Ovis aries: one gene and its partners. The protein of the gene in region 3 binds, or shares a complex with, the protein of the main gene of each other region. Links are inferred from orthologs where the notes say so. Each region holds a gene or a part of one and is shown on either strand. Other genes may lie near its edges. The genes, in order: TMEM126B, ACAD9, NDUFAF1 and ECSIT.

Region 1 (3,298 bases), on a different chromosome or scaffold from region 3:
CTGTCTCGGCATCTGAAGAAACAAAATACCCAGAATTTACAGAGAATTTGATTTACAAATCAAATGGGTCAAAGACGTGAATTGAAAACTCACAAAAGAAGAGGCCAGTACTTTATTTCATAATCAAATTTAGCTAGATTCACTTTTATGTTTTTCTTTTTTCCTCAAGATTGGGAAACTTTAAAAAGATTGATGTAGCTGAAACTGGAGAGGGACAGTCAGGATGTGAGAGGGGTGAGAGACGGTGGAAAGGTAGTGGGATTGATGGATTATAGATTCTGGTAAAGCCGGAGTAATGTGGTGTGAGAAGCAAAAGATGGGAAGGACAGGAAGTAGTGATCAGAATACGGAGTTTCATAACTGAGAATGTGAAGTGTTTGAATTTATTGATAATGATAAGGTCTAGAGAAACATAATTCGATAAAAATACATGCCATGTTATGTAGGACTTCCCAGGTGGTGCTAGTGGTAAAGACCTTGTCTGCCAGTGCAGGAGACCTAAGAGACGTGGCTTTGATCCCTGGGTTGGGAAGATCCCCTGGAGGAAGGCATGGCAACCCACTCTAGTATTCTTGCCTGGAGAATGCCATGGACAGAGGAGCTTGGCAGGCTACAGTCCATGGAGTCGCAGAGTCAGACACAACTGAAGTGATCTAGCATGCACATGTGTATGTAACTGAAAATTTCCTAGTTGCCAGATTAAAAAAAGCAGCAGATAGAATCAATTTTAATGTATTTTATTTATTTAACCCAGTGTATCCAAAAGAGTAACATTTCAACATGCAATCAAGATTGAGATATCTTACATAGTAAATCTTTAAACTATGTGTATTTTACATACAATGTATCTCACTTTAGACTAGTCACATTTCAAATGCTCAGCAGCCACAAACAACTAATGACTATTATATATTGGATGGCACAGGTTTAGAGTATGACCACGGGAATAAGTGGTATGATAGAGACCAGGGTGTTGAAAGAAGGGTCACCTATGTGAATACTGGAATCACTAAGAATGTTTTTTAGGCACTAAAAAGCACATATTAGACTTAGATGAAATGAGTTGGAGAGCTCTCTAAGATATACAGTGAAGTGAAAATTAATTTCTATTATATGTATGGATAATACCATTTATTTAAAAAAATATAAATTATAAAAGAAGACTATTAATGAAAGAGTCGTGCTAACTTAGTAGTTCTCTGGAGAATGGAGTAGAAATAGGATGGAGTGGGTGTAAAGGGGGACTTTCATGTCTTTTTATTCTTCTGGATCATTTGAATATCTCACAATGAGGTTTTCATGTACTTGTTGCTTAATAATTTTTAAGAGTTAATATTAATACCATTGATGTAGTTATCTACTTGACTTGGTTCCCTCTCTCCCTCCTTTCACCTGCCTTTTCCTCAGTTTCAAGTATCATGAGTTATTCTGAGAATATAAGTTGAATGGCTTACTGGCCGTGTTTTTGTTTTTGTTTTTTTTAATTAGCAGGAGTATATGTGTTTCAGATTGTTACATTTGATGCTGTAAAGCACCTCGTTAAGATTTCCATTTCTGCTCTAGGTTGCTTGGGGCCTCAGATGACCAAATCCTTAAATCTCAAGATGAACATGATTAAGACAGAGAAAAAGCTATGAGATTCCATTGCATGTCTTGTTTATCAGTGTTCATTTCTGGTACTAAGTTTCCTTAATTAAATGTGTAGCTCAGGAGTGCTATAGCAGACTTAAAGCAGCCTGCTGTGACCTCCTTGTTTAGATTAATCTTCTTAAGGGCAAGGACTGAATCTTTGTACCCCTGGTACCTGTATTAATTAATAGAAAATAGGTACTCAATAAATGTTCTTTCTTTCAAAAATATTTATTTGGCTGTGCTGGGGCTTAGTTGCTGCACATAGGATCTTTAATCTTCATTGGAGCAAGCAGGATCTTTAGTTATGGCATGCGAACTCTTTATAAGTTCCAGCATGTGGGATCTAGTTCCCTGCTGCTGCTGCTAAGTCGCTTCAGTCGTGTCCGACTCTGTGTGACCCCACAGATGGCAGCCCACCAGGCTCCCCCATCCCTGGGATTCTCCAGGCAAGAACACTGGATGAAAGTGAAAAGTAAAAGTAAAGTCGCTCAGTCGTGTCTGACTCTTAGCGACCCCATGGACTGCAGCCCACCAGGCTCCTCCGTCCATGGAATTTTCCAGGCAAGAGTGCCCTGACCAGGGATCAAACCCAGACCATGAAATATTCCAAAGGTTGTCTGCCCTGGGAGCATGGAGTCTTAAAAGTCCCTAGACCACCAGGGAAGTCCCAAATAAATGTTCTTTAAATAGCATAGTGAAGATGATTTGTTAATGATTAAAGAGCTACTAAGTATACTGAACTAGAGTTTAGAGGAATGGGCTGTTAGGTTATTTCTATATTGATTTCTTGTGAACTTTCAACTTTCCCTTCAAAATTTAGGACAATGTCACTTTTCCCCATAGCTTTCCCTTCTGCACAAGTATTTACCAGCTACATCCTCAATATGCTCACACAATTACAGGTATACCTCTCAAACCCTCTCACGCTCTGTGTTCACATTTCTAATTGTGAGTTTCTTCTGGGTAAGAACCATTTCTTATTAAAAGTAACACAATGCCTGAGACCTAGCAGGTGCTCCATAAATGTTTATGAATAAATAAATATATAAATGTATAGATTAGACCTTGGGGCCTCAAGCCTATTTCCACATATAATAATGAAACAGAGACAAAAACCTACATTTATTTACTATTTATTGAGCACCTGCTGTATACCGGGCAAAAGGAAAAGAGACAAACTGTCTATCCAGAACTATTTTTTAACTCTTTCGGCAATGCCTGAGTCCTTATAAAAAAGTTCATTCAGCTGGTTTAGTGTCCGTTCATTCTTCAGTTAATCTTCATGTACAGTTTTCTCAAGTGTACTTTCAAATATTGCATAGTGCTGCAGACCATGAAATATTCCAAAGGTTGTCTGAAGGATGAGAGGGATCACCATTGCTTTTATCTCTGTATGACAAAGCAGCAGCCAGTTAAGTAAAACCCTTCCTTTTGGTGGCAGGGGAACAGTATGATACCTAAAAAGGAAAAAGGGTTAAGGACTTTGTCTGGATGTAAATTCTACGGAACATTTGCTGATTTCTCCTAAACTGATCATTTCTGTTCTAGATCTTTCATGTAGAAAGCAAAAAGGGTTAAAATTAGCTATTTGAAATATGAAACCATGATATTTTAATTAAAATGTGTCATTGGCAGCTAAAGAATAAGGAGAATTTATTAACATTAA
Region 2 (3,958 bases), on a different chromosome or scaffold from region 3:
CTCCCCTCGCTGCCGCTGAACAAGCCGTGTGTGTCGCAGGGGATCATCTTGGCCGGCAGCAAGGAGCAGAAGGCCAGGTACCTGCCCAGGCTGGCGTCCGGGGAGCACGTGGCCGCCTTCTGCCTGACGGAGCCAGCCAGGTCAGCCCCACGCCCCCCGCAGCCTCTCTGCCTGTCTGCTTCCTGCTCTCATCTCCACCGCCCTTCTCCTCCCTGGTGACCCCGGCAGACTAGAACAGGCCCGTCAGCTCCTGTTCTGTAACCGTTTTATGCTTTGCAACCCTCCTTATCGGCTTTCCTGGAGGCTCAGTGCTCGCTAAAGAACCCACTTGCCAATGCGGGAGCCCCAAGTTCCATCCCTGGGTCGGGAAGATCCCCTGGAGAAGGAAACGGCAACCCACTCCAGTGTTCTTGCCTGGAGAATCCCATGCACAGAGGAGCTTGGGGGCTACAGTCCGCGGGGTCCCAAGAGAGTCGGACACAACTTAGTGATTAAACCACCACCCTCCTTATACAAAAAAAGCATTCAGGCGTCACAGTCACAGCGACGTTCAGACTGTGTGGGGTGGGTGGAGTCATCCGCACTGTCCAGGCTGTGGACCGAGGTTCAGCAAGGTAGAGTCATCAGCCCAGAGTCTCAGCTGCTGTGGACTCAGCTTCCGACGGCAGGCTGATCTCAGAGCTTGGCACCGTGTGAATCCGCCTATCTCTGCTTGGGCCTCCCAAACGTCCTCACGGACAGTTTCACCCAAGGTGATAACGTGGGATTGGCCAAACCCACCTTGCCACCTGTTTTTGTGAGCTTTTACTGGAATGTACCTGCTTGTGCACACATTGTCTGAGCCTGCGAAGCTGAATGCATGTATTACCTGGCCCTTTAAGAGCTTGTCAGCTCCCCTGTTCCACTCTGAAACCTCCTCTGGGGGCCCTAAGGATGCTTGTCTGTTCCCAACCACCTGTGTCTGTCCCCGCAGTGGGAGTGATGCCGCCTCCATCCGGACCAGGGCCACGCTGAGCGCAGATAAGAGGCACTACGTCCTCAACGGCTCCAAGGTACGGCCGTGTGGCCTCCGTGGCCGGACCTTCAGCGCACTCACTGGCCGCTTCCCAAGCTCCAGGGGTCGTCGGGCCGGGCACACCACCCCTTGACCGTCTTCCTTTGTTGGAAGAAGAAGTGGGCTCAGAGAGGCTCCCTGACCCACCCCTGTCCTGTCCGCCTCGCGGCAGGATAGGTACCCAGGCCTCCCGGCCTCAGAGTCTGCGGGCTTCTGGAGCACCACCCACCTCGCTGAGCTGCACTCGTGGGTCTGTCTGCTAATTTTCTCTATTACACGCGTGTACTGCTGGGAACGTCCGCAGCTGCCTCCTACCTTCGTTGCTGCCTCTGTTGTGCCGCAGCTCTGGGTAGTGGCCGGGGCGGGCTGGGTGCGGTCTGCAGGGTGGTCATAGCACCGCTGGGCACGGAACACATGATGATGGCTTCTGGGCGTCCCCGGTGGCTCAGTGGTAAAGAGTCTGCCTACGGTGCAGGGGCCACAGGAAACGTGCGTTCAGTCCCTGGTGGGGGAAGATCCCCCGGAGGAGGGCAAGGCACTCCACTCCAGTACTGTCGCCTGGAGAATGCCACGGACAGAGGAGCCTGGTGGGCGGCACTCCATGGGTCACAGGGAGCCAGACAGGACTGAGGCAGCTGAGCACGATGACTGCTTACCGTCTCCTTAGCACCCATGGTTTTCTGATTGTCTCATACCTGTTCGGTGTTTTTTTTTCCCCCCAAACAAGTTGCTTGAATCAAAATCCAAGTAAGTTCTATGCAGAGCCATTTATCAAGGAGTCTCTCCCCTTCCCCACCGCCTCCTTCTACTTCCCTCCCCACCCCAAGGTGTCCTGTGCTAGAACCAGAACTGCCACACACACACACTGCACACACTCACACAGAGACCCAGACACACACGCCCCTCCAGGGAAAGCCTCGCTCTGCTGTCGTGCGCTGTGATGGGCGGCCGGCACCGACAGGCGGCCTGGAGTCGTCTGCTTTCTCTGGAGCCCTGCTGCTCTCTTTCCTCAGGTCTGGATCACCAATGGGGGACTGGCCAGCATCTTTACTGTGTTCGCGAAGACGGAGGTCGTTGATTCCGACGGCTCCGTGAAGGACAAGATCACAGCGTTCATAGTAGAGAGAGACTTTGGTGGCGTCACCAACGGGAAACCCGAGGATAAGATGGGCATCCGAGGCTCCAACAGTGAGTGGCGCTGTGCGCGTGTGCGAGAGATGAAGTGTGCGGCCCATGCACGTGTGTGCGCGTGCGAATGTGTGGCAGGAGATGTGTGTGCCTACATGCGTGTGTATGTGAGAGAAATTGTGAGCGAGGAGGGCGGTGATGACTCCCAGGTGAGGCTCCCGCTGCCCGGTGGGACGCCCAGCCTCAGGGGAGGCCGGGCTGGAGGGGTCCTGGTCACGGGGCTCAGGACCTCAGACCCCCGTCTTCCCCCCGGGGCCCCCTCCTCCTTCACTCCCTCCTCCTCGCCCAAGCCCGCCTGCAGCCCAGTGCGCACTTGGTTCACTTGAGGCCAGCGTCCTGGACGTGGCCCTTGGCCTGGCCAGAGCGGCCACACGGTCCTCATGGGTCCCTCAGAGGCCGAGGGGCTCAGCCTCTCAGCTGCCTCGGCTCAGGCCACGGGGGCTCTGAGCGAGTGAGCGAGCCGCGTGGCCTGCATGCGGGCCGGGGGCCGAGCGCCGGGGCCGCAGCTGAGCTCCTGGCCAATGTGTTCCAGCCTGCGAGGTCCACTTTGAGAACACCAGGGTGCCAGTGGAGAACGTCCTCGGGGAAGTCGGAGGCGGCTTCAAGGTGCGTCGCCTGCTGCCCAGGCCCGCGGAGCGGAGAGAACCGGGCTCCGGGTGTCCCCCGCCCGGCTGGAGGCCTCGTCTCCCTGGGGCGGGCTGGGTTCCTGCCTGCAGGTCTGGGAGGGCAGCCCGTGGAGGGCAGGGTGCACAGGGCGGGGTCCCGAGTGTGCGCCCTGATTCTTTTTCTCTTGGAGTTAGATTGTCTCGTTTTTTCGTTGACAGGTAATTCACGTGGCAGAATTTGCTGTCTCCCGCATGCTCGCTGTGGTGATTTTCAAGATGGTCACTGGGCTCAGCGCCCGACTCTGGGTCTGACTTCAGGACGTTGCCGTCACCCCAGAAAGCAGCGCCATGCCTTCCCCTCCCCGCGCCAGCCCCGCTGCCACTGCTGTAGCGTCTGCTTCTGTGGACCTGCCTGCTGGGGCGTTCCGTTGCGTGCAATCTGCGTCGGGATTCTCTCACGCTCTGTAGCCGAGTCCCAGAGGTGTCGGGTGAACGGACCACATCGTGTTCACCTGTCATCAGCTGGGGACGCCTGGGTTGGTTCGTTTTCAAGCCATTTGAGTCGCACTGCCGTGAACGCTCATGTGCGTGTTTGTGTGGGAACACTGCTTGCTGTCCTGCTGGGGGCACGGCTAGAGGAGCGCGGGGGCACAGGCTGACTGCACGCCGAGTGCTCTGAGGGCCCACCGGGCTCCTGCACGGTGGCTGCGGTTTCACGTTCCCACCAGCAGCACGTGGACCTGAGGGCCCCAGGTTTTCCACATCTTGCCAGCTGGTATGCTCGTCCTGTCTTAAGTTTTCAACCTGGCCTGGGGTAAAGTGTCTTCACCCTGGGGGAAGCTGCCGCCACCTGGCCTGTGCATAGGGGTCAAAGCAGGACTTCCCTGGCCTTACAGATGTTAAGAGACTCACCTGAGGGTGCCAGCCAGGCCTCAGCACCCGAGGAGTGGAGCAGAGTGGGGGAGGGTTTGCAGGGGGGCGCCCTGTGCGGCTGCCGCGCGGGGAGGGCCCAGGCTCCCTGAAGGCCGTCCCGGAGACGCCGTCCACTGTTGACATTCCTGAGTTCACAGCGCTGAAATGCTGGTGCACGTGTGAGATGATGGCGGCATTT
Region 3 (4,417 bases):
CCGCAGTACTTTCAACTCCCAGGATGGTGCCAGACATGCGGCAGGCCTATAATATTTGTCAAACAGATAATATTTCCACATTTATCCACCAACACTACCACTAGGTCTTGGTTCAGGGTTTTAGTGATTATTCCCAGAACTATTGAAATTCCCCTAACAAAGGGCTTCTTGGGCTTCCCTGGTATTCCAGTGGTTAAGAACTCACCTTGCAATGCAAAGCACACCAGTTTGATACCTGGTCCGGGAAGATCCCAAATGCAGCAAGGCAGCTAAGCCCCTACGCCACAACTACTGAGCCCACGTGCTGCAACTACTGAAGCCCTCTTGCCTAGAGCTCATACTCTGCAACAAGAGAAGCCACCACATGAGAAGCCACCACATGAGAAGCCACCACACACCACAACAAAGAGTAGCCCTGGCTCGCCACAACTAGAGAAAGTCCACACACGGCAACGAAGACCCACCACAGCCAAAAAATGGATAAAAAAATTTTTTTAAAAAGGGGGGAGAGGCTTCTCAAACTTTAAAGTGCCTTGAATTTTATGGGAATTTTGTTAAAGTGCAGATCCTGATTTAGTGAGCACAGGATGGGGCCTGATATTCTGTATTTCTAACAAGTCCCCAGGTAATTGCTGGTGCAGAGAACACCTTTTAGGATTTAGTAAAGTCCTAACTCTTCTCTGACTCTGACCTCCTCCTTCTCTGCCAATCCAACATTTGACTGGCAACAAAGGGGATTTTTCTAAATATGATGGCCCTCCCCTTATTCAGCAATTCTGTCCAGAAATTAAAACTCCTAAAATGGTACACAAGGCCCTTCAAAATGCACCCAATTCCTTGGTCTCACTTCTCACTTTCATGGGCAATACCCTCAGCTCTTAACTACAATCATGTCTGATACACAAAAACACATCACTCAAAAATTACAAAAGTGACCAAACATTCTACTATCCTGGCTAATACAAGTGACTGCCATACCTGACCAGTCATAGCATTAGCCTCATTCTAGATACATAAGCTTCTTTCCTAATCATAGAATTACTTCCATCTCTCGACTACTTTCCCCCAAATCATATAACAGAAACCTAAGTCCAACAATAAGTCCCTTCTAACACCCTTTAAATGAGATGCCCCATGGCTTTATGTATTCTCTTCCACTATAGTAAGCCCAACTTGTTCAGCTATAAAGATGTTCCTGGTGGCTTCTGAATGGAGGGCACTGACACTGCTCTCCCTCCGTATTCTCATGAGAACCTGTGCATACATCTCACAGCCCTTACATACTATTAGAATCTTGCTTTTATCTGTCTACCTCAGTAGCCTGGCTTTAATCTTGGACTATGGCTTGAACCTAACTGATGCTCAAATGTCTGCTAAAATAAATGAACATCTTGTAAACGGTACGTTTTCACATGGACAAAAAGTAGAAGGGAACCAGGAGAAATAACCACAGTTGATCTCACGTCCTGGAATCACAGGTAATACCTCTACATATACAGAAATTTGGGAAATAAATGATAAGCCTTTAAAATGGAATCTGTACAATCATAAACACGAATTCTCATGAATACCATGCTTATGTTACACTAGTGAGTGGCAAATGAGGAGTATATACAAAAAATGCATATACACTAACATTACAAGTATAAAAATGTATGGACAAAAAAGATTTGGGGGCAAAGAAGAAAAAGACTTAGAATAGTGTGTAGGACAACGGGACTGTAAGTAATATTATTCACTATTTTTCAACCTATCAATAGTGTTACTACTTCTCTAATAATATAACTTTAATTGAAGTGTTTTGTTTCATTCTATTACCGATAAACATAAAGTCAAAATCATTAACTGGATGATCTCCAGATGAAGTTGCTGAGTTTTCCTGACAGTGTAACCTAAGCGGCTAAAAGAGAGGAGTATTAGCGAAGTTTGTGTACCCAAAGCTTACGAAATGCCAGAAACCGTTCTGAGTGCATTGATATTTTCACAACAACGATGAGAAAGGTACTATAATTATTCCAAATGCAGAGACAAACAAATGGAGGTTCCAAAATTAAATCACCCGAGGTCATACAACTAGTAAGTGGCCAGAGTTACTCTAGTAACCCCAGAATTATTCTAGTAACCCCAGAGTCCCAGTGTTTAGTCGGGGAGCGATCGTGACCGTGCCACAGCCCCCTTACCCTTCACCTGCTAGGGCCGTGTCACTCTCACAAGCTCCCGACACGCCAACTCCAAGCAGGCGCTCACTTGCCTCCCCTGCCGGCGCCTCAGAGTGACTTCCGCTCGACTCCCCGCTTTTCCAGACCGGGTACTCCACTTTTCCTGTGCGGGGGCCATCTGTTTTTCCTGTCCTGAGTAAAACCAAGCCTGATGACTCTAGAGTTCCGGTTGGGTGCAGATGGGGGAAAGAGTAATAATCTCAGAGCTCTATGAACTGAGGGGTTTTTTTGGTCGGCTATATTCCCAAAGGCTTCCCCACCCCGATCGCCAACCGCCAGATTTTTTCTGCCCTGTGTGAGAAAGTGGGGAGAATTTAGAGAAGATTTTCGCCTCTCCTTCCGGCATCCCACCTTCAGGCTGCAAACTCCATCCCGTGTCTTTCAAATAGGACCCAGATATTGCCAACATCCTTCGCACCTAAGGATCCAGGGTTCACTCGCGCTCCATCCCCACAGCCGCCCAAGAGAGGTCCACGGCCTCAGAGGATTGGTTCTGTGAATTGACCCCGCGGAATCTTTGGAGACCCACCACAAACTTGGACAGCAAACCATCCTACCCGCCCTTTCCCAATCTGGCCCCGTGGGGTCGCCCACTCTGCAGAGTTTCGATTGTATCCTGTGCACTTTCAACACCGAATCTTGATTATAATTATTCATTCACTTCTCACTTCCTCTGCCACGCTGCGAGCTCTCGGGTCCAGAAGATGTTCTTCTGTTCTCAGCACCTAGCAAAACGCCAGCAGGAATGAAGCACTCAGCCTACCTGACTTTGAATGAAAAGTAGGGCACTTAAACACGTATTCCAGGGTCCAAGACCTCGCCAAGTACAACTGCCTTTTCAAAGTTTCCTCCATCTCTCTTTTTTCACACCATCACCTCTTCCTTCTTTAAATTCTGCTTTGACTTCTCTAGCCTGTACACTTACCTGATTCTGGTTCTCCTACCTTCTTGAACCTTTTCTAGCTTCCTACTTTACTGACTCTTCTTTCTCCTCCCACAACCTTAAATGCAGGTTGTCTCCAAAACCTAGCCTTCGGCCTTCCTCTTTTCTTCTTCTCCTTTTTTTTCCCCTCTCCTTCTTCTTTTCTAGCTTATATATGAGTTATCTACAGACAGTCGGATAATTTCTTCCCCTGAACGCCAACATATATTTCCAATTTCTTGACAACAGGTTCAGCTGCAGGATATACCACTAGCATCTCAAATGTGATTTGTTGAAAACAGAAAATATCACACTTACCCATTTGAACTCTTCTCTTCCTTTCTGTTTCTGTAAATGCCCACATCCTTCTAAGCTGAAAATTCTTGGCTATCCTTGGCTTCTCTCCTTGAAACCTCTCACTGACCCTAAATCCTCTTTGTTTTGTTGCTCTCTTTTGATCTTTCACTCTTGTTTTCCAAATCCAGTGAAACCCCAATAGTTATTGCCCTATGAAATTTACATTCAGTCTGCTGATTGCCTTACTCTGAACACAATGGTTTGTCTAATTTCATTTAAAAATCACCCAGAGATAAACACAAAATTCCTTTGGCCTCCAAACATGCCACTCATCAATTCTAAGCCCTCCATAATCTCCTACTCCATCTATACTACTCATACTTATCCTCAATTTCTTATCTGTATGGTCAGGACATTCAAGATGGCTGTTTTGCTTTCTGTACAGCCCCATGGGGGCTTGATTCACTGACTTGACTATCCAGTCTCTTAAGTATAGGATTAATTAGTCCCTCGGAACTGAGGAGACCACCTGACATCAACTCCCCCTTTTATAAATGGTAGCCTTTTTCTCCCTGCCACCAAGTATGGAAGATCGCTGTGTTCTATTTGCAGCCCTCAGTAGGGTGTTGTTCCAGGACCTTTTGCTTCAGATCACCTATCCAATAAATCCTTGATGTTTCTGTCCCTGTTTCCAGGCTGTTTCATGCGTTTGGAGGTTGGGCCTATGGGATGTGGCCCAACACCATCCCAGGTGGTATCTACCTAAACCACACTCATTTCTCCTCATAAGAGAGTTTATACTTTCTCAGCTTGATGTTCCTCTCTTCCACATCCCGTTCATTTGATCACAAGTATTTACACAACTTCCCCATTCCCACCTTCCCCCAACCCCCCAGCTTCAGCTGACTGATCTAGTGGTAGAAAGCTGGCCAGTACTGGGTCAGTCAGTTAGTCCTAGGGACTTTCTGAACTAACGTTG
Region 4 (4,388 bases), on a different chromosome or scaffold from region 3:
TCCAGTGCAAAGGTGAATAGAAGTGGCCGGAGTGCACATCCTTGCCTTGTTCCTGATCTTAGGGGGAAAGCATCCAGTCTTTCGTCATTAACTATGATGTCAGCCATAGGATTGTCCACAGATGACCTATTGGGTTGAGGACATTCCTTTCTATTACTAGATGCTGAGTATTTTTATCAAAAAGGGCATTCATTATATTTTGTCAAATGATTTTTTTTTTTGCATCTATTGAACTCATGTGAATTTTGTCCTTTAGTCTGTTAATATTATGTATTACATTAATTTTCAACTGTTAAACTCATTGCATTTCTCTGATAAATTCCATTTGGTCATGCTGTATTTCTCTTTATTTGCTGCTAGATTGGGTTGCAAGTATTTTGTTGAGGACTTCTGTATCCATATTCATAAGAGAACCTGGGCTAGAGTTTTCATTTCATGTCATATCTGTTTGCTTTGTTATCAGGGTGATGCTGGCCTCATAAAATGAGCTGGGAAGTATTTGGCTCACTCTTACCACCATTTAAACTTTCTCTAGCATCTCCTTCCGCCTCTGCTCCACATCTCTGTTCCATTTATAGCACGGCTTCTCCCAAGAGGTGTCTGCATATTACACTCCCTTCTCACTCTTTCCTACTTGGCTGCTGCCCCAGCCACTCCACTGACACCACTCCTGTAAAGACCCCTTGTGTGTTCTCCATTTAACAAAGCCAGTGATTATTTCTTTGGCCTCATTTTGCTCAATTTCTCAGAATTATCTCACATGGGTGAGGCCCTCCTCCCATGTTGACACTCTTGATTTTCTTCCTAGCACCCAGGCCTGTTTTTTTAGCCAATCAGCAAGCCCTGCTTCTTTCTCTAAAGTCTGCAATGTTTGCAAACTTGAATGTGCAGATGAATCACTGAGGATCTTATTAAAATGCAGATCCTGATTCAGCAGGTCCAGTGGAACCAGAAACTGTACATCTAAAAAACATCCAAGTGATGCTGATTGCTGCTGGTCTGAAGACCGAATTCTGAGTAATAAGGCTGTGAAGAATCCCACGTTCTGAATTTATCTGTCTGCTACCCTAAGACATCATTCAACTACCAAAAGAGGTGTTCCTCTCCTCTCTGTATTCCTGTAGGCAGCGCTAATGGTTTTTTAACTTTGTTCATATTAGAATTATCTTGGGAGCTTTAAAAAATTCCCATGTCCAGGCCATACCCCAGATATACTGAATCAAAATATATAGAGGTAGGGCCCAGGTATTAGCATTTTAAAGCACCACAATGACTCTAACACCCACCTGAGATTAAGACCTTATTCTAAACCTTTGCTATTCAAAGAGTATCTATGGGACCAGCTGCATTTGTGTTATCATCTGGGAGCTTATTAGAAATGCCAGATCTCAGCCTTAATCCAGACCTACTGAATCAGAATCTGCATTTTAGCAAAACTCCAGGTTTCTCCTCTGTGTGTTAAGGTCTTAGAAATGATGATGTGCTGATGCTCCTAAATGTTTATCACCAGTCCTGAACCCAAGTCTCCTGACCTAACTGCCACTTTGGTATTTTCCCCAGCCATCTCAAACTTATTTTGCTCCAAATCATATCCCTGCTTAAACGTGTCCCTCCTCATCTTAGCCAATGACATCACCACTGCTAGTCATTAAAATCACAAACCTGGGAATTCTGAGTCCACTGTGTCCCTCACTCCCCCAGTCCAATTCATCAGCTACTCCTGTTGCTTCCAAATTCATCTTAAATGCATCCATTTCTCTGCATCTGCAGGCCACCACTCCAGTCCATGATCTCTTTTCACCTATCCAGTCTCAACTTCTTTCCTTACCTGCCTCCAGTCATTTCTCCCTGCAGTGGTCAGAGGGAGCTTTTTAAAATGTAAAGTAAATTTAGTGTTCTCTGCCTAAAATCACTGAAACAGCACACAAAATTAAATCAGAATCTGCCCCTCAAAACTCTTTTCTTATTACTGGTAGCTCCAGCTATACTTGTTTCTTAAACAAGTTCGCTTTATTCTAATCTCAGAGCCTTTGAACTTGCTTTTCTCTCTGTTCAGAAATTTATTCCCCCAGATCAGTCTCTGGTCATTCAGGCATTCAGGTCTATAGTCAAATAAGAAGCCTTTCCTGATCACCACCCCACTCCCCAATCTAAAGCCCCATTACCCTGCTGCTGCTGCTGCTGCTGCTAAGTCGCTTCAGTCGTGTCCGACTCTGTGCGACCCCATAGATGACAGCTCACCAGTCTCTGCCATTACCCTGATGAATGCATTTTAAGCAGTTATTAGCATCTGAAATCACATGTTTCACTTATTTATGATTTGTTCAATGTCTGACTCCCTGGGAAGATTGTGTGTGTGTGTGTGTGTGTATCTGCCTTATTGCTGTATCGTGTGTGTGTCTGCCTTATTGCTGTCTCCAGTGTGTGTGTGTGTGTCTGCCTTATTGCTGTCTCCAGTGTGTGTGTGTGTGTGTGTGTGTCTGCCTTATTGCTGTCTCCAGTGTGTGTGTGTGTGTCTGTGTGTGTGTGTGTCTGCCTTATTGCTGTCTCCAGCACCCGGGACAGTGCCTGGTATAATGTAGGTACCCAACAAGTGTCAGCTGAATCAGGAAGAGCTAAATTTCTACCAAACTTCTAAAAATCTGAACCCCTAGGCAGGATGGACCTACAGCAGCTCTGAGGCTGGCTGCCAGGATTTTGACTCCTTTGGGTGTCAGCGACAGACCCGGGGTCGAAATCCAACCTAGCGGCCGACTTGAAGCGTGACCGTGAAAGACGGCTCTAATCTCTCTGAGCCTCAGCTGTCTCATATGCAAAACTGGAAATTAGGGACGTGGAGAGGTAGGTAAGCTGAGTGCGGCTTTTGCCGGCACAACCCGGCCCGGTACGCCGAAAGGTCATGGTGCCCTGGCCCGGAAACCGGGGTCCTCCGAAGCCTCCCTCCCACACTGCCAGCCCAGAACGGGCCTCCCAGGTGCCCAGAAGTTCGCGCTTGCCTCCCCACGTGCAACCTACCTATTCACGCGGCTGGCCGCGGAATCCCTGCCCGTTCTATCTTGCCGCTGGGCGCCGCCATGTTGCCCAGAGATGTTCCGGGTCACGGGCCGCCAGGGAGACAGCAAATCAAGACCGCCGGTTTAGAGAGGTCCCGCCCCAAAGGGAGAAACGCCAATAGAAAGGTGGAAAGTCCTTGGTCCCGCCTCGTAAGGAGGCAGACCCTACCTTTAGGCCAACAGCACAGGGGACTTAGGAGTTTGCATGGGGAAGGAGTGACTGGACTTGTCGGGGGTGGGGGTGGGAGTAAGGGGCGGAGGTGTGTGTTTGTGAATACACCTGGGCGGCCCCAGTTTTCCCACCTGAAATGTGGGAATGAAATATTAAAGGTGGAAGTGATGTGGATTCCTTCACTTGTTCTACAAATGTTTGAGCCAGGCACTGAGTTGTCAGCATTACCATTAGTGACGGAGATGTGCTTGTGCATGCTAAGTCGCTTCAGTTGTGTCCCACTCTTTGTGAACCCTATGGATTGCAGCCCACCAGGCTCTTCTGTCCCTGGGATTCCCCAGGCAAGAATACCGGAGGCGGTTACCACTTCCTTCTCCCAGGGATCTTCCAGACCCAAGTATCAAACCCGTGTGTCTTAAGTCCAACCTGCATTGGCAGGCGGGTTCTTTACCACTAGCGCCACCTGGGAAGCTCAAGTAGAGACAGGCTCTGTTAATCTAGTTTCGTGGGTCTGGGCTAGTGCTTACTCCATCTGTGCCTTGATTGTCTCACTCCTGAAATGGGCCAAGTATAATAACCTTATGTATACGGGGGTTGTGGGGAGTATTAAAAGTTTTCTTTTTTTGCTGCACCATCCTGGCGTGTGGATCTTAGTTCCCCTACCAGGGATCAAACCTATGCACCCTTCAGTGGAAGCTCGGACCTCCAGTCCTAACCACTGGACCACCAGAGGATTCCCTATGCTATTGTTATTACAGGGGACTCAACATGGGGCTTTCCAGATGGCTCAATGGTAAAGAATCTGCCTGCCTACACATGAGATACGGGTTCTATCCCTGGGTCGGGAAGATCTCCTGGAGGAGGAAATGACAATCCACTTCAGTATACTTGCTGAGGAAATCCCATGGACATAAGAGTCTGCCGGGCTACAGTCTATGAGGGTGCAAAGAGTCAGAAATGATTGACCATGCGCACACATGTACACACACACACACACACACACACTGGGTACAAGGGGCAACTGCAAAGGCCCTTTATGACTGGCTGGAATGAACAGGGGAATATGAGGTCAGAGTGGTGTGAGGGGCTCCTGGGCTGCTCCCAGAAAGCCCTGGTTTTAGGCTAACAACCCAAATAGCACAAAATAAGGGGGGTTGGCAGTA

Evidence for each region.
Region 1: NDUFAF1 (region 3) and TMEM126B share a complex: the UniProt entries of both Homo sapiens proteins name them as parts of the mitochondrial complex. The link is inferred for Ovis aries from reciprocal best matches to the Homo sapiens genes NDUFAF1 and TMEM126B.
Region 2: NDUFAF1 (region 3) and ACAD9 share a complex: the UniProt entries of both Homo sapiens proteins name them as parts of the mitochondrial complex. The link is inferred for Ovis aries from reciprocal best matches to the Homo sapiens genes NDUFAF1 and ACAD9.
Region 4: NDUFAF1 (region 3) and ECSIT share a complex: the UniProt entries of both Homo sapiens proteins name them as parts of the mitochondrial complex. The link is inferred for Ovis aries from reciprocal best matches to the Homo sapiens genes NDUFAF1 and ECSIT.

The regions. Positions count from the first base shown.
Region 1 is NC_056074.1:9,451,391-9,454,688, forward strand, and holds the end of TMEM126B (complex I assembly factor TMEM126B, mitochondrial), read right to left. Parts: intron 3,090-3,298; coding exon 2,906-3,089; 3' UTR 722-2,905; downstream 1-721. UniProt on the Homo sapiens protein: As part of the MCIA complex, involved in the assembly of the mitochondrial complex I. Participates in constructing the membrane arm of complex I.
Region 2 is NC_056072.1:58,823,922-58,827,879, forward strand, and holds part of ACAD9 (complex I assembly factor ACAD9, mitochondrial), read left to right. Parts: intron 1-39; coding exon 40-140; intron 141-973; coding exon 974-1,052; intron 1,053-2,067; coding exon 2,068-2,242; intron 2,243-2,774; coding exon 2,775-2,848; intron 2,849-3,958. UniProt on the Homo sapiens protein: As part of the MCIA complex, primarily participates in the assembly of the mitochondrial complex I and therefore plays a role in oxidative phosphorylation.
Region 3 is NC_056060.1:35,045,102-35,049,518, forward strand, and holds the start of NDUFAF1 (complex I intermediate-associated protein 30, mitochondrial), read right to left. Parts: upstream 3,197-4,417; 5' UTR 3,145-3,196; intron 2,275-3,144; exon of another isoform or gene 2,181-2,274; intron 1-2,180. UniProt on the Homo sapiens protein: As part of the MCIA complex, involved in the assembly of the mitochondrial complex I.
Region 4 is NC_056058.1:13,601,001-13,605,388, forward strand, and holds the start of ECSIT (evolutionarily conserved signaling intermediate in Toll pathway, mitochondrial), read right to left. Parts: upstream 3,100-4,388; 5' UTR 3,016-3,099; intron 2,259-3,015; 5' UTR 2,166-2,258; intron 1-2,165.